Lonchura striata: one gene and its partners. The protein of the gene in region 3 purifies or fractionates together with the protein of the main gene of each other region. This does not show direct contact. Links are inferred from orthologs where the notes say so. Each region holds a gene or a part of one and is shown on either strand. Other genes may lie near its edges. The genes, in order: ras association domain-containing protein 6, MAP1B, STK4 and RASSF3.

The links.
Region 1: the proteins of STK4 (region 3) and ras association domain-containing protein 6 purify together in Homo sapiens (affinity purification with mass spectrometry; 5 studies listed by BioGRID and IntAct, counting the BioPlex papers as one, with this or other methods). This does not show direct contact. The link is inferred for Lonchura striata from reciprocal best matches to the Homo sapiens genes STK4 and RASSF6.
Region 2: the proteins of STK4 (region 3) and MAP1B purify together in Homo sapiens (affinity purification with mass spectrometry; 5 studies listed by BioGRID and IntAct, with this or other methods). This does not show direct contact. The link is inferred for Lonchura striata from reciprocal best matches to the Homo sapiens genes STK4 and MAP1B.
Region 4: the proteins of STK4 (region 3) and RASSF3 purify together in Homo sapiens (affinity purification with mass spectrometry; 5 studies listed by BioGRID and IntAct, with this or other methods). This does not show direct contact. The link is inferred for Lonchura striata from reciprocal best matches to the Homo sapiens genes STK4 and RASSF3.

Annotation. Positions count from the first base shown.
Region 1 is NC_134606.1:73,241,691-73,248,619, forward strand, and holds the start of ras association domain-containing protein 6, read left to right. Parts: upstream 1-3,908; 5' UTR 3,909-4,086; intron 4,087-6,929.
Region 2 is NC_134642.1:15,334,147-15,341,289, reverse strand, and holds the start of MAP1B (microtubule-associated protein 1B), read left to right. Parts: upstream 1-4,123; 5' UTR 4,124-4,138; coding exon 4,139-4,316; intron 4,317-7,143. UniProt on the Homo sapiens protein: Facilitates tyrosination of alpha-tubulin in neuronal microtubules. Phosphorylated MAP1B is required for proper microtubule dynamics and plays a role in the cytoskeletal changes that accompany neuronal differentiation and neurite extension.
Region 3 is NC_134619.1:9,279,927-9,287,696, forward strand, and holds the start of STK4 (serine/threonine-protein kinase 4), read left to right. Parts: upstream 1-4,756; 5' UTR 4,757-4,835; coding exon 4,836-4,867; intron 4,868-7,324; coding exon 7,325-7,405; intron 7,406-7,770. Other genes in the region: TOMM34 (mitochondrial import receptor subunit TOM34), read right to left, coding at 1,317-1,415, 2,208-2,334, 2,974-3,118, 3,385-3,545, 4,122-4,274, 4,409-4,508, 4,577-4,691. UniProt on the Homo sapiens protein: Stress-activated, pro-apoptotic kinase which, following caspase-cleavage, enters the nucleus and induces chromatin condensation followed by internucleosomal DNA fragmentation.
Region 4 is NC_134607.1:42,828,638-42,836,331, reverse strand, and holds the start of RASSF3 (ras association domain-containing protein 3), read right to left. Parts: upstream 3,014-7,694; 5' UTR 2,942-3,013; coding exon 2,821-2,941; intron 1-2,820.

The DNA of each region.
Region 1 (6,929 bases), on a different chromosome or scaffold from region 3:
TTTGCTGCAGGGACAAACTGTCCTTCTTGTACAGAAGCTTTGATGTGTAACACCTTTCAAATTGAAAATGCATATTTATACCTCTTCTAAATGAGAAAAAAATGACACTTTGGAAGGATGTCCCAGCTGTAGCAGGCAAGTCTGCCCTTCCAGGAACGATGATAACAATTTCGGTTTGGGAATCTGAATTTTTCTCAGAACTCTAGGAAGTGACTGTTCCATTGAGGGGAGTTCTGGAGAGACATTTTTAAATGAAATAGAAAATAGGAGACAGTCCACATGATGACTCACCTGCCTTAAGAGAAGATTGAAGAAAACTACTTGCAAATGGGAAAAGAGAGTCAGACAATGCAGTCTCATGCCCTCAACTGGTCATTTCAGAGGGGTGATGGAGCATAAAAGGATCCTGTAATGCATTGGTGTCAGGCTGTTGTGTGGGATTGGGAGGGTCTTGATAGCAGCTGTCAAAAGTAAGGCAGACCAAGGGTTTTGTATCTTAAAGACAGAATAATCCAGATATATACCATGACCTACAGGGGAAAAAAAAAAAAAAGGAGAAATTATGTTTTGTGGATTTAAGAAAAATGCACATCTGAAAATCTTGAGTGTGACCAAGTTACAGTTTTTAAGGGCTGTGCAAGGCGGCTGGGTGTGATGAGGCAGTGATTTGACTCCTGCCTGAGCACTAGTGGGAGTGACAAGCTGTATTACTGTAGCTCTTTGCCACAGGGAAGTCCCCTCTGGTTCTGTCCTCTTTGATATTTTGTAGCTCCAGGCAGTAAAAAATCCTCATGTACCTCTGTGAAGTCCTGTAATATTAAATGGATGATTTCATGGGTGTGCACAGGCAATGACAGCCACGAGGCATGACTAAAGGTGTTTCAGATGCTTGGGTCAGACCTGCCCATCCAGCAGTGGCTCATGGGGATAATAACAGAGACCTGCAAGCTGCTTTCCAGGTAGGCAAAGGTCAGCATTTGGTAAGTTCCAGTTCTTGATGTGATATTTAAAACTTTAGTACATGGGCTGCTGCCAACTTCAGCTCTGCTTCTTTTCTGTTCCTTTAAAACTCATGGACCCACCAAATGGTGTGTGTGAAGGATTCTGGCCTATGACAGTGCATAAGCCTTTGTGTGTGTTTCATTTTTCTGATGTATTTTAATATCTGAGCTAGTATCTGTTACCCAGTTTCTAGTTTCTGTGCTTATCAGTTGTGGCTCCAGAACATGTACTGCTGTTGGCACTTGGTTGTGATGACAGAAAATAATCTTGCTAAGGAGTGAGAGGCCCTCTGCAGCCTAAATTCAGGTTTTAATTTCTTGATTTGTTCCTATGATCATGCCGCCACTCTGGTACCATTTGTAATGAGAATGGAAGAATTGATCACAGGGGGGTTTTTGAGTTAAATTCAGGTCTTTTCAGATGAGGCTCTCCTTTTGCATTAGAGTAGCTAGCTCAGAAAATCCCGGAAGAATTTTTTGTGCTTGAAGTTAATGAGTTGTCTAGAAATAAGTGTTTGCAAACAGGATTAGGGATTTTCCTTCTTACTGTGAAACAAAGGAATATTTTGTGTTTATCAAAGTCCTTCCACTGAAGTGTGTGTGTGATGCTGCCATGGCAGCCTGCTTATTTTGATTGTCTACTACAAAAATAGAACAGGAATCTCTGTTTTTCCTCTTAGAGGTTCTCTCCTATCTTTAGCAGTGTGTTTGTTAATGGTTTGAGGCCAAGTTATGAAGTAGCTTAACTCCAATTTCCAATTACTTATTAACCTAAAATTACTTAGTTATTAATAATGCAAGGAGCAGAAATGTAACACAGTTTGTAAAGACTCCAGGATCATCACATTTCCTGCCTGTTCTAAAGAAATTATTGTTACCCTTTCACTCAGGAGGTAAAACAGTATTACCAAGTTGTGACTTGTTCATAGGTTTCCAGGCCATGCAAACTATGCTGATTATGAAAGACAAAAAAATAATTGTCTCTGTGCATTGATTATTTAATTTCTATGAAAGGGATCAAAGCCTTCTGTTTCTTGGAGTTGACAGTAAAAGTAGTTTCTGCTCTGTGACCCTGAGGACCTGATTCCCCTCCCCATACCTGTTCCCAGCCTGCACTGACCAGTCCTTCCCAATTACTCAGCAGGTAATTTTCTGTGACTCAGATGAGGTCAAAACTTGCCCATTGGTAGGAAGAGTTCAAGGGTGAGAGAGAGAACTGGAAACAAACCAGAGCCACGTTGCCCAGGCCAAGGTAAGGACCAACACATCTGCTTTTATGAAAATGGGAACTGTAGGTTTTTATTACAATTAGAAATTTCTTTGCTTTATGGTAATAATTTCTTACTGAGACATCTTTGCATGAATCTAAGTACTTGAAACATTGGGCTTTCAAAACTTGGTTATAAGCTTTAAGGAAAAAAAAAAAAAGGAAAAAGTAAAAAGCTATCCCTAGAAATCTGAGGTTTTGTTTGTTTTTTAAGTTGAAAAATTTGGGGTCAGGATAAAGTCTGATTTATCCTTGCTGGGGAAGGGTTAACATCACATTTTGCTGTTGCAAGCTAATAGTGTTGTCTTCAGTCATAAAAATACTTGAGTACCTCCTGGTACCAAACAGCTTCATGGTGTGAGTGTCCAGCAGGGTGACAGACTTGTCAAAGACAGATATTTGACATTACCCTGGGTTAGAGACTCGAAGGAGTCAGGCTGCTATTGCTGTCTGCTCCAGTTCTCTGATCCCAGAGCGCCAGGCAGCGTGCTCAAATATCTGAAGCCAGGACAGGAAAAATCAAACCTCTGGTTTTCCAGCAGCTGGGAAGCTGTGTGGGTTTGTGCTCAACTGTCCCACTTGAGATGGAGCAGCTCCAGAGACTGAGCTTGGCACGAAGCTCTGAGTCCCAGCACAGAGCTGCGATGCTCTTATGAACTGAGTAAAAAAACCTTGCATGTTGCTTCCCTCCTGTTTTGAGTGGCTCTCCATGTTGTAAATACCAATTAAATCCTTGTGTGAAGGATTTTTTTCAAGGTGCAAAGAAAGAAACTGCAATACAAACTTTAATCCCAAACACCAGGCTTGCTGTGGCGTGTGTTTGGCAGCGTGTCCGTCTCTGGAGAGAAGGATACCACAGGATAGTATGTGATCAGGAATCAAACATTTGAGTATTTGAGTCTGTTCTGCCTCTCCCTAACATCAAATTATATAAAGCAAAAGGAACTTGATATGAATCAGTGGAATAAGATGGGTGTGAAGGCAAATTCAGGTTCAGCATTTTTCCTGCGCTTCTCTGTGGCCCAATAACTTCTTGTTTTGGGCTTGATCTGGTGAATAAATTATTTGCTGGAAATAGATGGGCAAACGTAGGAATGGTGAAGGTGTGTCCTGGTTCAGTTCTTTTTTCTAGCTTAAGCATCTGCTTATGCAATTTACTGCTGAGCAAATAAAGTAAGAGGCCATGCTTTCCTTCTTACAGATGCAGCTTTTGCCCAGTAATATTCATAAGGGCATTACACAGGTCAGCAAAAATAACTGTGTGGGGTTAAGGGATCAAGCTGTGCGGTCACTATTTGTCAGAATGTTCTAAATCTGTGTAACGATCTGATGGATTGTGCCACTTATTCCCCCAAACACCGAAGATGGGCATGTATCTGAGGGAAAGCATACTTTATCCAATGGATTAGGAAGCAGAAGAGGTTAAAGTGCTTTGGGCACAGGATGTTTCTGGCGAGTTACCAGCTGATTCCGGGGAGTCGGCAGGTTGCCTCCCTTGCTCAAGCGAGCGATTAAAGCGTTAACCGGAGCCTCCTGGAGGTGGAACCGCGGCTAAGGGCGGGCTCCTGTCCGCGCTTGGAGTAAGCAAAGTGGGATAGGTAAATATTCCCGACGTGCACCGAGCTGCGGGGAGTGTCCTGTGGCCTCCCAGCCTTCCCGGTTCGTTAAGCCAAGTAGGAATGAGCAGCTCGGTGGGTCCCGGGGAGCGGCAGCGGAGGTGGCGGTGCGCCCTGGCCGTGCTGCCATGCCTTTCTGGGGGCTCGGGGGAAGGCGTGTGAAACTCCTGCCGCGCTCCTCCTGCTCGCACCGCCCGGCCAGGTGAGCCAAGGACGGCCGGGGCTGGCCTCTCGCTGTGTGCGCTGCTCTGTCGGGGGAAGCCAGGTCCCTCGCAGCCGCCCGGAACTCCAGGCACACTCTCTGGGGTCATTCCCTGCGGGGGGAAGGAGAAATGCTCGGCAGAAGTTCCTCAAGGCTTGGGGAGAGCCGGCTGAGGTGGGGCGGGCGGTCGCAGGTCGCGCCCTGCGTTCGGTGCGGCGGAGATTCGGCAGCGACATCGGCGACCTTGTGCGCTCTTTTCGGCGGCTAGGAAGGGCTTGTGCCGGTGGGCTGCGAGCAGAAAGTCACTTCTCCTAAAACGGGGTAGCAGAGTTTGGAAGGGATGTGTGCGAGCCCCGCTCTAGCGACGCCCGAGGGGAGGGAGCGGGTCCGCGCCTCCTGCCTTGTGCCTGGGAAAGTTAAGGGGCCGTATTCACATAATCCAATTTACTGCTGTTTCCTTCAAATCCCATTCCGAGCCTGCCTGAGCAGAGGGCTTGTGCTGTGATTTGTACTCAAGGAGTGCTCTTAATGCTCTGTACTGAGCAGCTAATTATTAAAATAAGGTGTGAAGAAATCTGAAAGCTCAAGAAAAAAAACAAAGCCCTTTTTTTTAGTGGGGAAAAGACATTTGTTCAAAGTAAGTACTTTGTTTTAATTACCGCCTTTTTCTATGGTGGTAAGGACATCTAACTTAAACAAAAATTACAAAAAAGGGGAACGTGAAGTCCCGTAATTAGAGTATGTGACTAGTAAAATTATTGTGCTGATACTGAGTTTATCTATCTGAACAAATCTTAAATTCATCTTTATAGCAACCAATCAGGATCGAACAATTTGCTGAATACCAGGCACTTGTGAGTTTAGAAGATGACTCAGCTGGACATGATGTTGTGCCTATGTATAAATTACCCCGTGTGTGTAGTTGATAGCTGAGTTAACAGGAAGCTGAGCCTTGTGCTTTCTGTAAAAGAAATGGAAGAGTTTCAGAGTTTTACCCTATCCTGACTTTCTGTGGGTTGGGAAGAGCTTTGGGGAGTGCTGGGTTAAAATACCTAGGGCTCTTTGCTGAGGTTTGGGGTTTTGGTTTCTCTAGCACTGGCAAAAGCTCTGCGTAGTGCACTGCACTCTGCAGGCCCTGTCTCCATAGATGGATGCACCAGAAAGCACATCCAGGCTGTTCCAGGAGCTGAGGTGCTGCCTTGCTGTTCCTGCTTGGCTCAGCTCTGCATCCCAGGTGTCCCTCTCCTTCCAGTCCTCCTCTGCAGCCGCCTGTCCTTCTCTAAAAATCGGTTTAGCCATTTGCTCTTAACTTCTGCTCTGTCATTCCTGCACTCTACTGTCCCTGGTCTGTCCCCTTAAGTAAGTGACTTAAATAGCACTATACTGAATAAAAGGAGCAAGTCCTCCTATCTGCTTCTGCACGGACACTTGGACATTTTCTTTGGGGAAAAAAACACATTTCGGGTAAGATATGAATCTTACAGACAAGTACAGCTCATTACCTTTGTGAAATTTGTCTTGTGCCCTGACGTGTTGATGCTCTTGCAGTTTTGAAATGTGCACTGGTCTGTTTTCCCTTTGCTTTTCCTAGACTACTCCAATAGTTGCAGTCCTCCTCTAGAAATGCTCAGTTTTCAGCTCTCCCAGTTTTCATTTCCTCCTGACTTTCCCTTTGCTTTCCCTCATGATGTATTTCAGGCTTCAGTCAGTATTCCTCCAAGCAAATCTCAGGCCAGCAGTTTAGTCCAACCAAGCTCCCACTTTCCAGGTGTAACCTATCTGAGGAAATTCTGCCCTTCTAGTCCAGTTTAACATAATGGTAAAAACACCTGTGTGATACCAAGTAAAACAGGAGATGGCTTTGAATAAATGACACAGGCAGATATGGTTGGAGTGGCTGGAAAATTAGCATGGTTTGGTTAGTTCAAATCAAAGGGAGCAGTGGAGAAAGCATTTAACTTTTGCTTGCTTCCTCAAAAGGACTACAGGGAAGTGGCATGGAAAGCAGCAAGATTGCAGGAGGTGATGGGAAATCTAACAGCTTTGTGGATTTAGGGAGTGCCAGTACAAACATCCTGGCATCTGTTGTGTCAGGTTCTGGTGTTGGGGAAGTCGCTGCATGGTGGCAACCCACAGGTTTGGGCCTTGGCTAAAAATAAGCTACAGTGTGCCCATGGGAAGGGTCCAGGGAGAAGAGGTTCATCTCTGGAGTGAGCTGGTGGTGTGGAAGTGTTTGGTACAAGGCTGATAAGCACAGCAGATCACATAACTGAGGAGAACATAGTGAGAGCTGTGCTTCTCCCCCAGCCATAGGAGAGAAGGCTTTTTCCTGGGTGTTGCAGCCATGATGGAGAGAAAGAGAAAGGTGTCGGTGAAGAATTATCCCCATCACCACCCACTCTTCCAATTCACTTTATTTTCAGCACTTTAATGGCACCCAGCTGATTGAAAATCCGTTCAAGGTGTTTAAGGCAAATAATTTACTAGGAGCCACCTGCTGCATATGGAAAGAGTGTTCATCTCTTTTGTGTGTGTGTAAAGGTCACTTCTCTCCATGGGCAGAGATCAGCTTTTTCTTTCAGATGAATCATTTTAAGGCCAAATAGTGTAGAAAAGAGTGCATCCACAAGCAGTGAAGCAGTGCTGGAGCTTGCTGGTGTCACTACTCTACAGTTGGTAGAGGTGACTTGGCTATTCACTGCTCTTAACGTGTTGTTTCCTGACAGGTGGGAGGAAGCCCAAGTGTACATTCATTTATTCAGGTGCCAAAGTACATAAACTCCTCTGCATCTTGTAAAAATGGCTTGAAATTGCACTGACACAGGCAGCTGCTTCACTTAGAG
Region 2 (7,143 bases), on a different chromosome or scaffold from region 3:
CCTTCCAACCAGCCATTCTGTGAAACTGTCATCCCAGGCCTAGGCTGGAAATTCTCCATCTCTAGAAGTTAGTCCTTCCTTAAGAAATCCTACAGATGTGAAGAACGCCCTTCATGACATACTGTGCAATCCTCAGACTGGCATTTCTCTCAATGAAGACACTTCAGTTTCTGTAAAGATCTTAAATTCAAAAAATCACAGCATATCCTGAGTTGGAAGGGATCCATGAGGATCATTGAAGCCCACATCCTGGCCCTTCACAGGTCACCCCAGGAATACACCATGTGCCTGAGTGCATTGTCCGAACACTTCTTGAACTCTGTCAGGCTGGTGCTGTGACCATTTCCCTGGGGAGCCTGTTCCAGTACCCAGCCACCCTCTGGGTGAAGAAACTTTTTTGAATACCCAGCCTAAACCTTCCCTAACACAACTTCATGCAATTCCCTTGGGTCTTGTCACTGGTCACCACAGAGATCAGTGTCTGTCCCCCATCATGAGGAAGCTGTAACTGCACTGAGATCTCCCCAGTCTTCTCCAGGCTGAACAGACCAAGTGACTTCAGCTGCTCCCTATAAGCAGCTCCCCTCAAGGATCTTCATCATCCTCATGGCCCTCCTTTGGATGCTCTCCAATAGTTTTGTATCTCACTTTTACTGTGGCACCCAGAACTGCCCCCAGCACTTGAGGTGAGGCCGCCCCAGGGCAGGGCAGAGCAGGACAATCCCCTCCCTTGTCCATCTGGCCATGCTGTGCCTGATGCCCCCAGGACACGGCTGGCCCTCCTGGCTGCCTGACTCAAATGCAACCCCAGGTCCACCTCCACGGTGCTGCTCACCAACCTCTTGTTCCCCACTCAGTATGTCAAGTGATCTGAAGCAATCCATATGGATACGTATTTCTTTTATGGTAGGGATGACACTTGACCTGAGACAAAGGGCCAGTCTAAAGGTTTGTACATCACTGAAACATCATCTAAAATTTGAAATTTGGACCTGAATGAAACTTGAATATTAGTGGGTAACAAATGGCACATACTACCAAGAAGCATGTTTTAAACTTCAAGCACTTTATTTAAACTGTGTCTTTTAAAAATACAGCATTGAAAAAATACAGCTTTGCAAATACTATTTGACCACATTCAGCTGTGGGACTCCAATTTGGTATTGAACATAATAAAACAACAAAATCAAACCAAGAAGATCAAAAGCCAGACAGGTGCAGATCTCAATCACTGTCTCTTTGAAACAGTAAGATATATCCCACAGTCCATGAATGGTGCAGTTTCTTCTACTGAAGGGGCATATCTATGTAATTTAGCTGCAGATAGGCAGGTGGTATCACTCTCAGACAGTGATTAGTGTCACAGGACACTAAGTCAGCTTTGTGCAGCATATCTCCACATTTCACTCAGCAGTGGACCTGATGCTCCATGTTGCAGAATATAAATTAGTTTCCAGATGATGACGAACTAATCTACCTGATTGAGATACTGACAGGGCAAGACACAGTGTGGAAAAGTGGCTATGGAGCTGGGACCCTGCAGCTTCCTCAGAGATATGTTCCAGAGCATAAAGCACCTTTCTTGTCTAGCTTCCATCTCTGATGAGGCAGCATAAGCTTATGAATAGACAAAGCCAGAGGTCGGCATCCTTTGAAGAGTTTACCACAAGACCATTTCTTTCCAAAGACAATCTTTTGCCCTTAGGGCTTTAATGGGTGATGCATCACCCATCACAAGACAGTTTGACTGTAACAGTTCATCTTTTATCATACCACTTTCTAACTGCATGTTATTTTACACTGCAATGTGAAATAGAGGACTACCTGAGCAGCCTATTTCATATGTAACTGTATCACCTACCTGTATGTAAGCATTTTATTCTCTGGTAAAATGCATTCTTTTTGGCTCTTGCTTTTCAAACTCACTGGCATCTTTCCAGCTATGGATGTTTCCATTTTTACTTAAAATAAGAAAGTGCTTAAAAGTGTATACAGTGTCTTTTGAGTACTGGTGTGCATTTCTCTATCACATTTAACCTGCTGTACTTGTGAGGCAAGTAACTATTTTACCTTTATGTCCAGGAACCAGCATCTGTCTGTTCTGCAACCAGTTGACAAGACCCCTTGGCGAGCTCCATCCATGCTTGAGAGACTAGCTATTCTTGCTGGTGATTGACATAAAGGCATGCCCAAAACTACAGACTGCAGTGACAGAAGCCTGAAGCTGGCATTCTCCAGTGGGTACCACATGGCAAGTCTTGAAGGTAACTATAATTATAATAAATTATTAGGAAGGGGTTCATATAGGAAAAGGCTATAGGGGATAGATATTATTTCTAAGTAGGCATCTACACCATCCTATGACAGGAAACAGCAAAGTCACAGTGGGGCCCAGATTAGCAGGGGTATTCCACGAGGAACACACTGCACCTTTGAATACCTTGCAAACCTTAAAAGTGCTGCTAGTTCTTCTGCACCTACACTATTGCATTTGTTCTATCAGCAGTGTCAGCTTCAGTGAAGAATGAGCACTGCTGCTCTTTACCACTGTGTCATCTCAGCCGCCTGACATGGCTGTGAAAATGCTTGTCTGCACTCCACAACCTTTAGAATAACGGCAGCTCAGGAAAAGTCTACTTTGGATGCAACATCCAAACACACCACACTGTGTAAGCCAAGACTCTGAGTGCTGTATTTATGCAGAGGAAGTGTTCATATCAAAACCATTAGGTGCTATAGACACTATGGACCAGCACTTATAATGATCCTGTTCTAACCTTTGTGGGTTGAAACTGTAGCCTCTAAGCTAGTAAGACAGAAAAAACTTAGTAGTGACAACCTGAAATGCATGTGAATTAGTCCACTGTGCCCTGGAACAAAATACAGAGAAGATGAGGCTGATATACTCGTTCATCCAGGCAAGCACTGTGCTCCTAAGCAGTAGGCAGAGAATCTGCACATCCAGCACTGTAAGAAGCTGCAGACAGAGGAGGTGTCTTCTCAGTCAGGGACAAGAGGTTATCTTAAAAAAAAAGCTATAAAAGTTTATATCCTTTCCTATGTCACAGTGAAATTTATCCCACATCACTTGAACCATATAAACAAGAGGCTTAAGTGTAAACGAGTGGCTTGGCTATGTCAGTAAAGTGAGAGGAACATCCCAGACAGATTTGACTTCTCCATCATTAGGAGCAAGTAACATACTTTTCAGAGGTTGCTATCACTGAGTATTGGGATGTAGATACTAATATCTATGAGAAAAGAAATTAAGCCTTTGGTTCTGTCATTGTATAAGTTTTCTGCTATCATTGCCCCATGGAGATGCTTGAGCCTGGTCAACATTACTTATTAAAGCTCTTGAATTTCTGCAGTTTTGAATAAGCTAAGACTACGGGCTTCAGCATGTTGTCCAAAACTAGTGTTTTTCTGGTGTCATATATCCGTGGGCATTGAATATGTGCAGAAGAACTATGTGTGAAGTATCTTATCAAATTAACTGCTTTTAAATTTAAAAAGTTAGCAAGAATATTTAGATTGCTGGGTGAGGGTGTGTTTCAGTATGACTCAAATTTTGCGGCAGTAGTACAGCAAGACGTAGGAGAGGACAACTGGCTTTGGGCAGTGGCACTGCTTTTTCATCCGGTTCTGGACCGCTGCAGGAGGCGCGATGCTGGCTTTGCCACATGAGCCCCGCAGGTCTGCCAGGCCATCACCTGCGGCTCCTCATCGCCCTGTTTTAAGGGACGGGCCTCGGGGTGACGGCCCGAACGGGCACGGGGAGCAAGGGACAAGAGGGGAGTGGGCTCGGGGGTCGCACGGCCGGGCCGGGAGCCAGGCGCGGGGCGCAGTCCTTGGCGTCCCCTCGGGGCGTTGTTCGCCCCCCGCGTCCTTCCTGCTTCCGGGGGCCGCCGCGGGGAGGATTTGCCGCAGATGACATCAGCCGTGGATGCTGGAAAGGCGGCGGCGGCGCGGAGGATGCGCCGGCTCCCCCCCTTCCTCCTCCTCCTCCTCACCAGGTCCCTGCCCTGCACCGTCTCCGTATAAAAGCGCCGCCGCCTCCCCACCCGCCCTCACTCCCTCCTTGCCGCCCGCGGAGCCGCCGCCGAGCTCAGCGCCCCGGAGCCGCGGGGCGGAGGCGATGGCCACCGTAGTGGTGGAAGTGGACTCGGAGCCCTCCTGCAGCATCCCCAACCCGACCTCCACCTCGCCCAGTCTCTCCCACCGCTTCCTAGACAGCAAGTTCTACCTGCTGGTGGTCATCGGCGAGCTGGTGACCGAGGAGCACCTGCGGCGGGCCATCACCAATATCGAGCGAGGTGAGGCGGCGGGAGCCGGGGTGCCGCAAGCAGCGCCGCGACACCCCCGCCGGCGCCCTGCCCCTCCCTGGGCGCGGCCGGGAGCCGGGATAGCCCCCGACATCATCCCGCCTAGCCGCCGTCTTCGGCTCTTTATTCCCCGGGGGTCCCGCCGCAATCGCCCACCCACCCATGCTCCGCCGCGGGGTGCGGGCGCTGCGGAAAGCCGCAGCGAGCCCCGTCCCCGCCATCGCTGGGCGGAGGGGCCGGCGGCAGCGCAGCGCCCGCCGCCGAGCCCGTCTGCCCGGAGACACCGGGGTGGGCGTGGCACGGTCCGCACTGCGGTCCCGGTGGCTGCTCGGGGCGGACAAAGGGCGGCTGGGGATGGGGTGGATGGGCTGGGCTGGGGCTGCGAGGCGGCTGCCGCCCGCAGTTCCCCGTCCCCCACCGCCGCGCTAAGCCCGCGGGTTCGGGGCGTTTTCCCTCTCGGCAGCAGAGGCTGCGCGGGCGGGAGCGCAGCCGCGCCTTTGTGTCTAACTTTGGGTGCTGGGACTTTTCTGTCGTCTGGACAATTTTTCAGGACCTAAGTTCTATATACGCGTATATATTCCAATAAAGAAAACCTTTATGAGTAACAAGGCTGTTACCCGAGGGCTCAGCCTCGTTATTGTCCGACTGCGGGCTCCTCTGACTCGGCGTTTATTTGTCCTTTTCTTAAGACGGCGATGCAGCGTGGTATTGCAAATGAAATGACAGTTTTATAAGTTTTCGTTGTGGTTTTTGATACAATAGATTTCAGTGTATATGCAGAGAGGAGAAAAAAAAAACAAAAACAAAAACAAAAAAAAAAAAAAAATAAACGGTATCAGTGGAATAAAGCATGAAGAAAATTATTGCCGGACCTTACAGTTACTTAAACTCAGTTGATAGCTGATTTTATAATATGTATTTTTTGTTCTGGGCTGGTGAAAACAAAGATTTATGGAACTGCCATTGTTAAGAGTGAAGAAGAGATCCCGGAACGAGGAATTGGTAGCAGCCTTGTCATGTAGGTGTGGTTCAGCAGTCCAGCTAGGACTTCATCTGTGTCTCTCTATTGTTGCTTTCTCAACCATTGTTGCTTTAGTTGCTTATTTCTCTGGATTCCTTTTCATTACAGTTTGAGGTAAAAGGCATCCTCATCTCAGCTAACTATTTCCATCATAAACTGTTCTATCTTTATTGCTACCATTGTCTCTTGGGGAGAGCTACTGAGGCAGGTGCTTTGTCATTCAGAGCTTCTTCAGCATCGCACTTCCTTAACTCTATCTAATTTTCAGTTGTGTCAGAAAAGAACAGGCTGCATTTTAATTAAATTGTCAAAGATTATAAAGCAAATTGGTAAAATTTACTCCCTCAAGACAACTAATATCCTCCCTCTGAAGAAATGCTCTCCAGTCCCTTCTTGAATCTCCTATTGTACAGTCACTGCTGCATAGCTCAATTACTGCTATCTCCTGCCACTAAGCATAACACCCACTTACAGGTTTAGGTGTTCAGAGGGAGTGTTTGACCTTTTAATTAATCATTTTGGATTAGAAGTGACCTTGATGCTTCTAGTATTAGACCATTTGATTGAGATTTTTGCCTCCTAAGAAAACTCCTTGGTGAAATTTTTAGGTACATTTTTCTGGATAAATAAAAGTGGGAGTCTGACGCTTTGTCTATGTGAGGCAATTGCAGGCTCAGCTAATAATTTTCTCTTTGGAAAGTCTGCTGTAGTCTGGGGAAAAAAATACTTCTTGCTGCCTTTATTCTCAATAGAGCTTTAAATGCATTTTGGTTCTCCATAACTCTGCCTTACTGTCTTCTCTGGTACATCTCCTGAGTACCATCACTGAAAACTGTGGATTCATGCGCCAAACTGCAGAGCAACGTGTCAAAGAAAACATCTGCTGATAACACATCAGTGGTGTGATGCTACGCAACCTGGTGGAATGCAGAGTCATTTCTTAATATATCATGGGGAGGGAATGGTGTGGCAAGACGCATTTTCAGTAATTACATTTTGGATGTGACTTTGCTAAGGGGGCAATTCTCCAACAACCCACAGTCCACCAAAAGAGAAGAGGGGAGTGAAGAAGAAGCTTCAAGATTTTTCCACTGATTTAGCAGATGCTACTGGGTGTGCCCTCCCTGCTGTCTTATTAGTCCTGTGTCTAGTGGCATTGCATTTCTAAGACTGCAGAAAGAAGGAAATAGCTCCAGTTCAGCCATGTTTATAGCAGATATGTCCACATTTCTAAGCCATCATTGGATTGACCTTGGATTTTAGTTCCATGTTTATCTTTGTTCCACCGAAAACCTGATTTAGTGGTATCATTCATTTAATACATTTTACTCCGCTATAATACGCATGCATAATTTTTGCATCCAGATTGCTGAATCATGCAGTTGCATATTTTAGATAGTCTACCCAAATTCCACCTTCAGCTTCTAGGACTACTGCGTGCATAGGGCATAAAGGCTTTTATCCCCTATTTTTTTTCCCCCTATTTATTTTGTGTTGAGTCCTGTATTTTGGACATTGCCTGGCTCAATCAGGCAATGATTGAGCAATCTTGACTACATCTAATCAGCACCTTATCCCTACAGCAAATTAGGATCGCATCTAAAGCAGCTAGGGATGGTGGATGAGTCCTTTCATTAGCAGTGTTGATAAATCATAGTTCATGTCAACTGACCTCTAGAAAGGATTGTAGTTTCTCTGCCCAAGCTTGGTGTCATAGGCCAGGGAATTGTTTTTCTTCAAGCTTCTTGAAGTTCAGCACTCATTCATTCAGTGTATTTCAGCTTTGTGATCAATGTC
Region 3 (7,770 bases):
GGCTAGCTTTTTCTTATTATCTGATCTTATTATTCTGTATTATGAGTTGGATTAGGTCCAGCATTGCCCGGCATCTTACTAGCTGAGGCAGAGTGCAAGGCTGAGCAATGGTTGGAAACCATGATGCAGTGCTGTGCTCTCCTTGGCATGCCTTTCCCAGCCCCAATGTCCCTGGAGCTGTAGGCTTTCTGGTTCTTTGAACTCTAATTTTAATGGCAACTATGAGCTGTGGTCACTGTCTGAAAGAGCAAGGCCCCTGTACAGTGCCTAAAATCCTCTGGGAAAGAGAGGAGACAGTATGAAATGATTAATCAAGCGTTCCCCTTCCCCTGTTCCATCCATCACAAAAAACACAGTCCTAGAATGAAAATAAACATGGCTTTAATGAGAATAGGTTTTAACAGTTCACAAAGTAATTCCAAGTATCTTTTTATCTACTATTTAAAATCAGTGCCAACAATATCAGACCAGGGGAAATTTAAACATGCATTGAAGTAGTAAGCCAGACCTCAGCTGGGGTGTTACTGCATATTTTCCTCCCTGTAACACCCCACAGCAACTGCTCCAAAAGGCACAGAGCTAAAGTGGTTTAAAAAAAGGAAAAAAAAAAAAAAACAGGACAAAACAAACCATTGCAAAATTCCCAAGCACCCAGAATCTGAAAGAACAGTGCACAGTGTAACAAGGCAGGCTTAACTTGCTGCTGTTTTCTTAAATGTGCAGAATAATTAAAGAAAGCTGCTACTGTAAACATCTGCCCAGCCACACTAAGCAGCAGAACCCAGCTGAGGGCCAGCAGGCATGAAGGGGGAGAGGGAACAAGCTTGGCCCTGTGCAAGTAACTGAGCCCCTGTCACATGAAGGGTATGTAGAGCTCTGGCAACTACAGTAGCTCTTGCAGCGACTTTTTCAGTAATAGCAGCACAAATGCAGCAAAACTGTCACCTGAATAAGGACTAAAACCCCTCTGTAGCTCTTCAGACAGGAACAGCCACTTCTGTGCATCTTAGCCAACATGTAAAGAGTCCCTGAGGCCAATAGTTAGAGGCAAGTTGACTTCAACCAGGAAAATTAACCTAAGTGCCTCTTGGGGAGGGGCATTAAAACTGTGCATGATCATAGAGCCAGCTGAATAGAGTTTGATGCAGATTATGTCTTAACAATCACTGTGCTGGTACAGAACCTCTTAGATCTCAGCAGCACTGGAAGAGAGATTTAACACCAATCCCGCATCGACTGGTCCCTGTATCAACAGCAGAAGGGAGAAAGCTTTTCTCTGCAGTGGAAAAGAAAGCTTTCCTTGTTGCTTGGTTACCCTAGGCTCTGTTCAGTTCTTGCAGTAATCTCAGTGCAGCTGTGTTCTTTGGTTCAGTTTTCAACAAGCTCTTGATGTCGGCAATACTTGATTTATAATCCTAGAAAGAGAATATTTTTTAAGGGGTAGTGCATTAAAAAGGCAGTCTAAGGCAGAACTACTACCCAGCAACAGAGGCAAAGACAGCACAGTTAAGCCTGTGCCTCCCTCCCTGTAACTGCTCAGCACTGGCATTGATGTAGCTGTTCTAAAACATGTTCAAACTAGGGCTGAGAAGATAATTTCATCACTCAAGTGCCTTCTGAGTCCAACACCAATGCAATAGGTACTCCAGTACTGACTCCAGCATTCCTCATGAGACAAGAAGATAAAAGCCCAGCACAACACTGGTCTCTGGTCACTGGTCCCTCTCCAGGGACAGGATCTGTGGGCAGAGCCTGAAGATGTGTCAGGGGAGGTTTGGGTATTAGGAAACGGTTCTTCACCCAGAGGATGGGTGGGCAGTGGAACAGGCTCCGCAGGGATGTGGTCACGGTCCCAAGCCTGACAGAGCCCAAGAAGTGTTTGCACAACTCTCGGGCCCAGGGTGTCATTGCTGGGGCTGGTGCTGTGCAGGGTGGGGAGCTGGACTCGAGGGTTCCTGTGGGCCCTTTCCAACTCAGCATTGTCTGTGATTCTCTGAAAAGCAGTTGCCTTCAGCATCTCTAAAACTGGACCTAATTCTGACAAGTTCATGAGATTCAAACAGCAAAGTCTGACTCTCAGTCCTTAAAGGTCTGATGGCAGAGGTTGCCTAACACAGAAACAAACCCTGAAGGGTATCCCTGGCTCTGATCATGCATCAACAGCCATCTAGTCCTAGCCTAAAGCCCTTCAGAAACTCCTGACTTACCTTCAGTTCTTTAAGTGCTTGAGCACGCCTGTATAGTGCCTTGACATTCTTAGGATCCAACTTCAGAGCTTCAGTGCAGTCCTGTGCTGCTTCCTTGTATTGCTTCAGGGTCAGGAAACAGAGAGCTCTGCAACACACACACCTGCTCAGAGACCTTTGGCTGAAAGCAGCATCCACTGCCACAACACACAGAGCAGCTGCCAGTGCAGCACAAAGCTGGGCTCCAAAACCATCCTCGTGTCTTATGCCATCTTAATCTTGAGCTCAGGTTTGTTTCATTTACAGGGAGGAAGAAAAGGAAATGGTTTTTGCAAAGAAATAAAAAGGAAGATGTTTAGAGCAACCTGCCCTAAAGCCAAAGAACCTGCACTTGCACTTTGAGGATGCAGGTTCCTGCCTCTGCCAGTGCAGCCCCTGCTCTGCTTGCTGCAACTGCCTTAGAAGCACTTTGAGTGTTTAAGAACAACAGTCTGCAGTTTGAGGTTTGTAAGAGAGCAGAGACCACTCAACATACTTGAGTCCTGTCAGACAAAGCAGTCAAGGGAGAAATCCCCTGGCAGCCCACAGGGGAGTGTCTCCAAGGGGTTCTGTACTACCTAATCAAAGAATGTATATTACAGGGGAGGCTGCACTTGGGATGAACCTGAGGGGGTAGTTTTGTTTTATTCATTAGTTTGGGAGCAAATATTAAACAGTTCTGCTAGGAAGTACCATGGTGGCTTTTATCTAGGGCCAAGAAATAGTTGGGCAAAGAGCTGAACAGTACCTGTTGGTGTAAGTTGCACATTCCTTGTTGAGCTCTAAACTCTCACTATACTTCTCAACTGCTTTTTTATGGTTTCCTTTCTTTACAAATTCATTTCCTTCTTCCTTAAGCATTCTAGCTCTCTCCATGTCAGCAGCAGTCTTGTCTGGAAATGGTGTGAAAGGATACACAACTCTATAAAACCAACAAGAATATCAAACATCACAGAAAACAAATATCCCCATGCCAGAGGCAAAACACAGAGACATCAAAGAAACCAGAATCAACTGAAAAGGCTCTGGCAGAACCAGGCTTGGGTTTCTCCAGGTCTCAGCCCAGGCTGCAAACACACCAAGCAGGTGTGGCAGCTGTCTTGTTCATCACCCTTGGGAGCTACAGGGCTCTCTGCCCAGCCCCAGGGCTCGTTCCCACCTCGTTCTCCCCGTGGTGCAGTTGCAGGAGGAGTGTTTGCCCCAGGGGCCTGGGCAGCAGGAATGCTCCACCTCGTCTGGGCAGAAACAGGCACTGTGGGGATTGGTGGGAGCTTCTGACGCCAGTTCATGCCATCCTTCTCCAGCAGGGCTTTAGTCATCCTGGAAGAGACAGCTGCCAGTCACCCTGGCTGTTGGCTGGCTGGGCCACGCAGTAGCCAGCCACATCACTTTTAACCTGGCTTGTGTATTTAAGAACAGCATCTGTCTGCTGATTTCTTTACATGCATCTCAGCTAGGTTTATTCTACAGACAGGACATTTGCAAAAAGATTATCTTCACACCAGCAGGGCTAAAAATACAACAGGACATGGGCTGGGGCTGTGACTGCTCAGGTGAGCAAGAGACATGCATTTCACTCCTTGGTCTGGCAAGCAGAGAGCACCAGAAAGAGAACAGGACTATAGCAGCCTGTAAACACAGCAAACATAGAGATGCTTAAAGGATAGGGTATGAACGTCAGTTCATTATTTCCTTTAAACCAGGCACTGGTCAAAGCAAAAACAGTCCCACAGCAATCATTCCCAGACCTCGACCTGAAAGGAGCTATAGGTACCAGCAGGCAGAGAGGGAGCATAGCCAGGCAGCAGGAACGAGCACGGATGGAGCAGCAGCACCCAGCTGCCGTACTCCCGAGCCTTTGGCTGCTCCCTCTGGTCACCGGGCAGCGCTCCTTACCTGTTGACTCCATCGTGTGCCGCCTGGACGGAGCAGTCCACCTGCAGCGCCGTCTTGTAGTCCACATAGGCCAGCGAGTACCTCTCCATCGCCTCGTACGCCGCTGCCCGCCGCAGGAGGGGCTTGATGCCGAACGGGACGAGCTGGAGGGCGCTGCGGCGGAGGGCAGAGCGCCCGCGGCGCCGTCAGCCGGCACGCCCGGGGCCGCCGCTGCTCCGCCCGCCCCGGCCGAGCGGGGAAGCGGCCGAGCGCTCCCTCCGGCTCCCTCCGGCCCCAACGCCGCTCACCTGGTGCAGTCGGCCACGCAGAGGCTGCAGGCACCGTCCTTGAGGTGGCAGGCGGCGCGGTTGGCCAGCAGCACGCTGCGCTCCTCGGCGCCGGCATCCCCTGCGCGGGGCACACGCCGTTCAGGCGGGGTTCGGAGGGCTGCCCCCGCCCGCCCGCCCCGACCCTACCTGCGGCTTCCAGCTGCGCCAGCGCCCGGGAGTACAGCTCGGCGGCCGGGCCGTACTGCCCGCGGCGGAACTCCTCGTTGCCGGCCCGGCGCAGCGCACCGGGGGACGCGGCCATCGCGCCGCCGCCGCGCCCGCGAAGCCGCGCCCCGCCCGCCGCAGCCGGGGCGGGCGCTCCCCGCCGGCATCCGGCGGCGGGCGGAAGCGGCGGAGCGGTGCCATGGAGCGGTGAGGGGCAGACCCGGCTCACCGACACGCCGCCATGGAGACGGTGCAGCTGCGGAACCCGCGCCGGTAAGCGCGGGGCGTGTCCCTGCCGGGACCGGGGATGCGCCGGCCCGGGTCACCCCCGCGGGGGCCGGGAGCGGGGCTGCGGGCGCGCCGGGCTCCGGCCCCCTCGGTCCTCCGGAGCCGCGGGGCCGGGGCAGCAGCCCGTGGCACCGGGCAGGTCGGTGCTGGGCAGCACCGGGAGCCCTGGGGAGGAGGCGCTGCCCGCGCTGCTGCGGGAGCTCCGCGGCCGTACGCGGTGTGCTGGCCCGTGCCACAGCGCTGACAAAGCCCCGTCACTTCTCCCCTCGCGTCTCTCCTTGGCTGAATTTCGTGCGGGTCTGTGCCCCCGGTGCCGTGTCCGGGCGCGGTGCCCGGCCCGGGCACACCGGGCACACCGAGCCCGACCCTCGGCGTTTCGGGGCGAAAGGAAGCCGTGGGTCGCCTGTCTCGGGCTGCCGGGCCGGGGCCGCGGGGCAGAGCTGGGGACCGGCGGCAGCTTGAGTGAAGTGTCAGTGTCAGAATCCTATCAGAGGCTCGCAGCTGGGCCCGGGGAGCGCTTCGGCAGCGAACAAAGGAAGCTGCTGGCGCTGGTCCCCAGTGGCACTGGCCCCCTTGGTTAAACAGTGATGTATGTGCTGTTAAAAAACAAAACAACCTTCGTTTTATTCTGGAATTGCTTATGCCGGTGTTTACAGGGCAGGTGATTAAGATTAGATCTGAATAATAACAGAGGTGAGATTGGGTTTGTGTTGCTGTTGCACCTGTAAAGCATCCAGGAGAACGGCAGAGTGTGTCAGGCAGCAGCTAGTGCACTCGATGGAGCAGGACAATGCAAAGTAATTGGGCTCTGGTCTGCAGTAGAAATTAGGCTGCTTGCTGCAAGCCCAGTAGTTTTCTGGTTGTTGTGTTTGGTATATGAAAAGTTGGTTTTTTTTCTTTCTTTATACTTGTAGAATTTAGGCCTCAAATAAGAAGGGTCTGCCTCTTGCGTCACCACATTTTGGGCTCCTTGGAAATGGTGGCTTGTGTGTTTTCTGGTGCATGTATTACTTGCTTTTCCCCTTTTCCCACACCTTCTTCCCTCTCTATTTTCACAGGGACAAGTAAATTCTGGTTAATGCTTATCTGAGCAGGGAAGCTAGCAGCTACTTTCAGTATTTCACCACTTCCTGAGTCTGCTTCTATATAATGTTTCCTCTGCTTCAGGAAGCCATTGTATGTGCTCCATGCGTGAGCTGCTCCTCCCATGTGGCTTTTGTGCATAAATATAATAGCCAAGGATCAATCAATGGTTTTTCGTTCTATTTCTGAAGAAATTGGGTAAAAAAAGTTATATATTTAGTATAAAAATTAATATTCCTGTAACTGGAGTCCTGATCTTTAGCAGCAGCTGTTAAGAGCTTTCAGGAGTAATTCGCAGTTGCAGGCAACCGCGTGTGTTTTACTTTAAACACCAGTCAGTGCTAAAAACTCTGAGACTCAAAATTTTAAGTTTCTGTGTTTAAAAAACTTGAATGAGATGGTTTCGGGAGTTTGGAGGGGGTTTTATTGGCTATTTTTTGGTTTTGTTTATTGTTGTTTCAGATTTTTTTTAGTTCATGTGAAAATGAAAGAGCACTTGTTTGTGGGCTGTTGGATACTCTTACCACTGACAATAAAATACTGTTTTCAGACTTTTTGGTTATGTAGTCCTTAGCTGTTTCAGGAGGTTTGATGAACAGCTCTCCAGCGTAGACTCAAACAAATATGATTGAGCTTCTTATTGCTTTATGCACGGAATCTCCCTAAAAGGTGTACTAGGGGAAGGGGGCCCACGTGAAGAATCACAGCACATGGCAGGTTTTTATTCCTAGAAATTATTTTAGCTGACTCTTATTAGCAATACTGTAGGAAGGATGGCATTAAGATCCTGAGAGTCATATACAGTTTCCTTTTTCCTGATAGAATCTTCCTAGTAAGTGTCCAGGCCTATGAAGTTAATATCTGAAGTTTTGATGATAAAAATGTACAGGTGAGAGTAGTATTGCTTCCTGCCTCCCAACAAATGTATTCCACACGTACTCTAATCATCAAGGAAGATGATGTTCCCTTTTTTTTGGTAGCTATCCTTCCATTCCAGTATTGATATTCTGCAGATATGTTCAATGGCTTCAAGACTGTGCCATGCTGAGATGTGACCACCAGCATATAGATCCTGAAACTGATTTCTGCCAAGAGGAGCTGTAGATTTGTGTGCCTGCTCACACTCTGTGCTTTGTAATTCCCAGTCCTTTTTGCCTATTGGGTGCTAATAATATCCAGTCTCCTCATCAGGTGAAATACTGGGAAAATCAGGTGAAATATAGGGAAATACTTCATAATCAATTTACTTCATGCCAAACCTTTTGGATGTTTAAGTGGTGCTATTTATTCTTCTGTTTCAGCAGAGCCCAATCTGCCATAAAATTAAATGTAATAATTTCTCTCTTTTTACCCATACAGGCAGCTGAAGAAGTTAGACGAAGACAGTTTAACCAAACAACCTGAAGAAGTATTTGATGTCCTGGAGAAGCTTGGAGAAGGGTATGTGTTGTGTTCCAGTGGGCTCAGTATGCATTTTTCTAGGAAAATGCATCTGTAATGGAGGTGTGTTCAGCAGACTCTGATGTTTCACTTTTGTCATAGTCCTGTTTCTGAAAGGTAGTTACTGACATAGTGGCATTGTTTGGTTAATAACAGAATAAAGAATTTGTTTCCCAAGAATGCAATAGCTTAATCCAAATATCAGGTTATCGGTCAGTAGTAGGGAGTTTAAAAGTTTGTGAAATATCCCAGCCAGGAGTTGGCAGAGCTCTCTGGGAATTTGAGAGATTTTGTGGTTCATCCCTGGTACATCTTGAGGGAGATCTTCCTGGTGGAGTGAACTTGTGACACTGTGCCCTTTGGTG
Region 4 (7,694 bases), on a different chromosome or scaffold from region 3:
AAATCAGTGACTGAAGAATGCTCACAAATTTTCTTCCTTCTTTTAGAGCTTTGCAAGGAGCACATTAGCTGTAGGCCAAAGTCTGTGGCCACTAATCCCAAAGTGCCCATCCAAGGACAGGCTGAAAAGCTAAACATTTTTAGGAACAGCAACCTAATCATGCTTTGACAGCTCTTTCTAAAATTATGTCAAATGCACCTTTCTGAACACAGTGACCTACAACAATACTAAATTCATTGTTATACTTAAAAAATAATTTTGTGCTTCAGCAGATTTTGTTTCTGGGTCAAGCAGAGAGGACAAGGCATCTTGAGACATGGAGTGATAGAAGCAGAACAAAAGCAGCAAGTCTGAGGGTACTATGCAGAGGCACAGTGCCCATCTCTTGGTTTACATGATGAATGAGATCACCCAAAATCTAAGAGATAGCAGAGAACATAATCTCTGACCTTCCTAACATGTCTAAATAACGAAATTTTCTATTTTGTTGTTGTTAAAATGTTACTTTATTATTAAAGCACATGTGGCTAAAAATTATCGGTAAGTATTACTGAAAGCTTTAATTGCCAGCTAGTTATTAATCCATGGGGCAAGCCTAGCGACACAGAATTGTTCTACTGGGTCATCCTGGGTCCTAGCTCATCCTGAATGAAAAATTCTGTAAGTGCCAGTCCTGGAGTAAAACCTACCAGGAAAAGACAGCAAAAAGTTGTTGGATTCTAGGAAGCAAGGGTAAATCTCTGTGTACCAAGGGATGGTAGTCAATTCTGATCAGGGCAGATGGTCAATACTGCTCAGGGTAGATTGTCAGTACTTCTCAGCGTAGGCTTTTGAGTTGAATAACTCTCTCAGAAGGACAGAAGGGCACCTTGGTAAAGAATTACCAAATTGTGATGTTTCAGAGTCGAGGAAGCTGAGGAAATGGGTAATTTTGTAATTCACCAAAAACTAAAGGGAAATTCTGGACACTGAAGAAAAATGCAGAAATGTTTGTGGACGTCAGGGTAGCTAAGGTTTAACTAACAAGTGTAACTTACTGTCTTTGTACAGACTAAAGAGAAATCAGGAGCTGTGTCTCCTCCCCTGTGAGAGGAGCATCAGGACTTCAGCTTCCAGTTTATAAGAATGGGTTCTGTAAACTTACAAGAAATTTGAGTTGAATTTTAACACTGAGATTTTTTCTGCTTGGACTCAACCTTCCACTGAATTGACACATTTCCATCAAACCCACAATTTTGTGACAAATATCTCATTGCACTGGTAGCAAAGGACTTCTAGGGCACTTCAGACATATTCACAAATTCAGTTCTAAAGAGGTGCTAAAGCATACACTAAAAATGATCGTAAAAAGATACATTTTATTCAAACCACCAGATGTAGAGGGAGAAGGAAGGCAACCCACAAAAAAGCATTATTTTTAAAGCACTCAGAGTTCACCTCTTTTCTTGTTACAAGTCACAGATACAATTATTTTTTTGCAATACTGGGGTAAAAGATAACTGGCATGCAAACATTTTCACACATGTGTAACCCAGCTAGCAATTAAAGCTCTCCATAGAAGTTATTGATAGTTTTTACTATCAATAATTAATAAAGGAGATGCAGGAATGATCTGATGTGTTAGGAGGACTCAGGATGATTTGCATGTATTAGGAGGACCTGAGATTACCAGTATTCCAAGAAAGGTTCAAAACTCTAGATTCATCAAGGAAAGTTTCATACAGACTTCAATGTCCTGAGATTTCCTTGTGAATATTTGAAATCTGTGGATTCCTTTGGGAAGAAGTCATGTGTCATTTAGGTCCTAACACCCTTACTGTGACAGATTTCAGATGGCACATCCCCTTTCAAGAGTCACAGATCTGTTGTCTCAAGTACAACACTAAGCTGCTCAGCTGTGGAACTGACCCAAAGTCTGTGCCATGCAAATACAAACTTGTTATTAATGTTGCAGAATTGACAAGTTCACCATTCTGTTCCAAAGAGTCCCAGTCAAAAGAAATCTGACCTTGTACCATTAGTCCCTTAAGAAGAACATAAAGAACTTGGCTTCCCCCACTATGGCAGTGCACATTCTTCCAACCCCCTGAGAACATGCCTCAGCCCCAGCCTTCACAGACCGTGCTAAAGGGACAAAACGGTATTTGGGCTGTAAGGGCGTTTATGAGAATGTTAATCTGAGAGATGCAAACAGTTTTCTGCCAGGCTTGGACAATGATCAGAACACTGAGATGCTGTGAGGAACAATGCCTTTAATAACTGGTCAGCTGAGCTGTACTGCATTTCAGCTGATAAAATGGAAGAGCAGGCAAGTGCATCACTGCTGAGCATAAGCCCCTCTAAGCTGCCCATCACTTTGTGTGAACACTGGTACAATGAGTTAAAGTCTTTAGTCAGTTCAGTCTTTGCACAGCCTTCTAGATCAATGAACAGCTCAAGGCAATTCTAAATAACTTTCAGGCAATTATTTGAGTCATATCAGAGCTCCTATATACATACCTAAGGGAGAAACATGGCAAAAACAAGATACCAAATATCAGTGATGTGAATAAATTATGCAGCTGCAAAAGAACTCTTTGCCAGAACAAGCCTGATGAACCTTCTATTGCTTTACCAGAATATTTTGACAGTTTTGCCTAATGACCCTCCAAGAATGAAAAAATGCAAACAATTCTGGCCTGGAAAAATTAACCAGTTCAAAGAAAACAGATTTTTTTTTTTCCCCTCTTTTTTTGTTTTTTGTTTGTTTGTTTGTTTTGTTGTTTTTGTTTTGTTTCGTTTAGCAGGAAAAAATCTGGGGAAAAATAGCAGCAGACTTACCCGGAGATTTCCAGAGAAGTTTTACCGTCCTTCTCCTCGAACTGCTCAATGATTTAGGAAACCAGTAAAAGAAACGTGCTATCCTCCTGATGGTTTTGTTCAGATCATTTCTCACTGCCATGGCTGAAAGGGCTCCACTGCTACCCCAGGAACAAGAGGCACATGTATCCAGAGGAGAGAGGAGAGCCCACGAACACCCACAGTGAGTGCGCTGGCTCTGAGCTCAGCGTCAGCCAGCACGTCTCAGGACCACCTGTTAGTCCTAAATCCCCACCCTCTCCGTCACTCCGCTCAGAGCCCTCCAGACCTCCCTCTTTATTACAAGAAGCAGCTATTTTAATAGATGCTTCAGCTAAAGAAAGACCAATGCTCTGGAGTCTTAACCTGTTACTGTGTTTCCAATGATGTTAAGACATGTTTTCTGCAGGAAAGGCTTTGAAGGGCTCCTTTTTTCATCTGTAGCTACCTTTTCCAGGCTGAAAACAAATAAACATCAAAACTGATAGTGACAAGTAGTCTTTCAAAATCCCTTAATGTAAATCAATATATTTCCTCTGTAAAGAGAGTCTCTCAAAGACTTTCTTCTGAGCAGCAGAAGGTTCTGAGCAGCAAATTTAACAGAGATTTCTATGGATACACACATTGTTCAAAATGAGACTTTCCTCTTAACGGAGTTTAAGGCAAATGTAAGAGTCAAATCATTCACTGACACAATTTACTTAAAAATTGAGCATCTATTAATATATCACTATACAAAGAAATTAACAGTATCTCAATACATAGCCTACACCTGCTTCAATCATAGTGCATATTAAATTGTAAATCCAGAGATGCTATTTACTGCAATGCCCCCTGCAAAATTTACCACAACTTCTAAAATACACTTTTAAACAGTAAGACTATGTAACAATTTCCCAAGGATGGTATGATTTCCTTGACTATGTGTCCAGCTTCTCACATTTGATTTTATTTTTTTTTTCTTCTTCTAGATCTGAATGGCAGAAATCCCTGGAAAATCAAGACTAATGTCATTACAAAACAAAGGTCCTTTTGTATCAACCTTTAAACTACAGAAAGTAAGGGTTTTGTTACACCAGCTATGTTCACAGCATACAGTTAATAAATCTTCCAGAATTCACAGTGTATTTTTCTACACTAAAATATGTGAAGTATTTAACTCCATTTTTTACATCTGACTTTCTAAACATACTGCTGCTAGTCAGGACTGAGCTACTGGTTTCTGATTGCATTTCCTGTTGTCAGTATGTCTCTAAAAACAAATAAACATTTCTATTTATACTGTATCTGTCACAATTCTTTAGCCAGTGTCAATGAAAAGAACAGAAGGCAGGACACAGACCACTGGATTTTGTCTCATTTGAGCTCCACCCTGTCATACCAGAAGGAATTTAGTAGCAAAGTGACAGTTTTAGCAAAGCAGGAGGTCTGTCACCCAATTCAGAACAAGAAAGGAGCAGAGTTAAAGGCCTGACAGATAGATTGCTTTTCTTAGGAAATAGGAGTCTGAGTGTGTACTGGCATCTGTGAAATACAAGATCAAACAATGACTTCTTTTTTTTCTGAAATTTTTACATATAAAATTGAATGAAAATCAAAGTAGCATAAAAAACCCTGAACAATTTCACACCCTAAGTAAATATGTAATAAATTGCCTAGTTTTGCGATTTGTCAAAGAATATATATATATATCTCCTTTAGCAGGATATGAAGGGGACAGGAATATTTTTTTCACTTAACAGAAAATGCTGATATAGTATCTTTATACTGGAATTTTATGAGGCTTTAAAATTTACCCAGTTGGAACAACGTAAGGGGATAAATTGACTTTGTTGATGATGGTAACAAACCTGTGGATGTTTATACCTGACAATATTTAGTGAAACAAAAATAGGCAAGAACATAAAACACTGTGTATTACTTTAAAGCAAACGGATCTTACTTTATCCAAAGACTTCACTGGGATGAATCTGGCAATTATACTGTGCAACAAACCACGTAATACAGATGAGAACACAGACCTGAATTCAAATTAAACTGAACAGCAGTGGTAGTTGCAATATAGTAATTTCACAACTTCTACATCACTTTACATTTTTAGGCCATAGTTAGGCCAAAATACAAAGCTAATGAACAGCCTGCCTCCCACAGCTCAGGGATCGGGGTGTGTGATGGTGACGGGAGTTCCTCTCAACCTGAACTGCTAGCTTTAGAATATGAGCCACTGTGCTGTGCACAGGAATGCACTGCTCTCAGCTGGACTCAGGAAAGTCCACAGAGCTCCTCCTAAGACAACTCTGATTCCTCACATTACACTGATGTATTATTAAGGTTAAGAATTCACTGTATTAGAAAGGTACTACACAGGGCTGCATATGTACCTTTCAATCTACTCTGACAGAGAGACAGCACAGAGATACTTTCCAAGGAGGACAAAAGGACCTGAAATGTGAGCAGACTCAGACTCTTGATCACTGCCTCTGTTTCAGGAAAAAAGCCACGTAAGGCTTTTTCCTACAACAGACTTCAACCCCCAGGTCACACTCTGCTCATCTGGAGGAGGGGAGGGAATGACTGCTGCCTTCATTGCTGTCCCACCTGCCTGGGAAGGAAGGTGAGCAGCTGTCCCCTCTGCTATGCAAGCAGCCTCTGACCTCCTACCTCCCCACAGCAGTGCAGAGGTCAGAGCCCAGCGGGCCCCTGTGCAGGGCAGAAATGCCCACAGAGCCTCCGTCTGTGTGGTGCCTGGGGTGCGTGGCAGGTCACCACCTAGTCAGGAGAGCTGGGTTCACCACACTGCCCAGCTGTGTCTGCCTCCCAACCCACTTTCTGCATGGCAACCTGTGCCCAACAGCTGGAAAACAAAGGGGTGCTCATGAAACATCCATCAGTTTAGACATGTCCCTGTCTACCCTGACCTACAGAGCTCAACAGACCAGCTCTAAGCAGAGGGGGATACACGGTGACCTGGTGCCTGCCTTACTGCAGCCCTTCCATACTCACTGACAGAGCTGAAAGAACTAAAAATACCCCAAACTAACCTTCATTGCTACAATAAAACACTCTTAAATGAACTGTAAACAACCAGCAGTGCTTTACTGGAAATATTCTCTTGGGGTCTGATGAGTTCATGTATTTTAAAAGCAAATTCTCTGCTAACAAGCATTTTTTAGAGCAACACAGGAGTGCTGAGATACCATAAAAATGAAGTCTGATAATCAGGAGGAGCACACACAGTGGTGCTAGATGTGAGGCAGATGCAGAAGTCTCTGCTCTGGAGCAGAAGAGCATTTTTCCTCAGTGAGGATTTACTGCCATTTCCACTCCCCCCAGCTCTTAGGCAGCAAATTGCTGGGATGAGTAAAGGATTTCATTTGCTTTGACTTCAACTGGAACTTCTCCATTTAGTCTGGTTTCAGGAACAAAGATCCCCACACACCTGTTCACAATAAGAACTATGTGTAGGAAAAGCTGAGAGTATTAAGCAGTATCTGCTTGTCTACATTGGCAAATATCCCTATTATCTAGGCTCAAAATGAGGTTTTGGTTTCTTTGCAGGCAATAATATACTTGGAAAACAAGGCAGTGTCTTTCCAACCTGTCCCAATGTGGATTATATGTCACTATGCTATATGCTACACATGCAGGCACAGTTCAGTATGGAGAAGTCAAGCCTCCACAAGGATATTTCCCATATTGATGGACCTTGAATTAAATTCTGTTCAGCTGTAAATTTTTATCCAACCATCAAAAAAAGGGCCCTGTCTAACTAGTCACTGGGATTCAGCAATACCACGACACAGCATCACTGATTTCATAACAAAACATAATTTATAACATCATGATGTGTGACAAGGCTATGCGGTTGCTAGGAAATTAATAAAGAACACAACTAATGAAAGAAAAGAAACAAAGACATGCTGCATTTGACTTTAAAACAGTTGAAACTAGCACAATACTTCCAATTTCCAGCTCAGCTGCTCATCCCTCCCAAATCCGAATAAGCAGCTATATTTGTGAGCTTTCTAAAAAAACTTTTAATTCTCAGCAGCTGCATGTACACAAAAAGAAAGGACTAAAAATTAAACAGTGATTGGCAATCTGCAACTTCCAAAACCTTGCCTCCTTTTGAAAGGTAGTAATTGAAGAACTGTAGTATTCAAACTGATGTGAAATACATCTGTTATCAGATTTAATGATCTATTAATTACTCTTTTTGGAGAATAATTTGATTTCTCCCCTTAAGATGTAAGGAGTAAGAAGCTTTCTTCTTAGCAATAGCTCCAATGAAACACATCCTGGATTTTGAGGAAGAAAATCACTGTTCCAAAGCACATTAGGTCAAATTTGATTAGCTCTTGTTTAATTCAACAATATATTACTCTGTAAATAAATGTCTTCCTGCATTGTTACATGGAAAAGAATGTCTCTCTGTGTATTTCAGCAATATTTATTCTTGATACTTTTCACTATCATCCATTGTACTGTACAGTCATTCCCTGTTTTATTTCAAATACTTCAATCAGTGAAATTTGTTCTAATTTGCTTTATGTTTTTTTCCAGAGGCAGGTAGGACCAGTACTGTGATGGAAGTGTGTGAGGGAGGGCATTGCTGTTGCTGTGCTGGTGCAGCTGAGCATCAGGAAGGTAATGCACTATTTCCTGGAGACTGCTGCTGGTACAATGTGCTGCTCTTGCTCCTCTTTACCGTGGTTTGGTTACAGGTTTACTGCATGTCTGAAGGTTTGTGCTTCAAAACTAAAGCTGAATAAAAGATTATAAAGCCAGATGAAGAGAACAATAGTGTAATGTGAAAATAACAGATTTGTGTTAATTTTAGCTTTGCATTAGATATT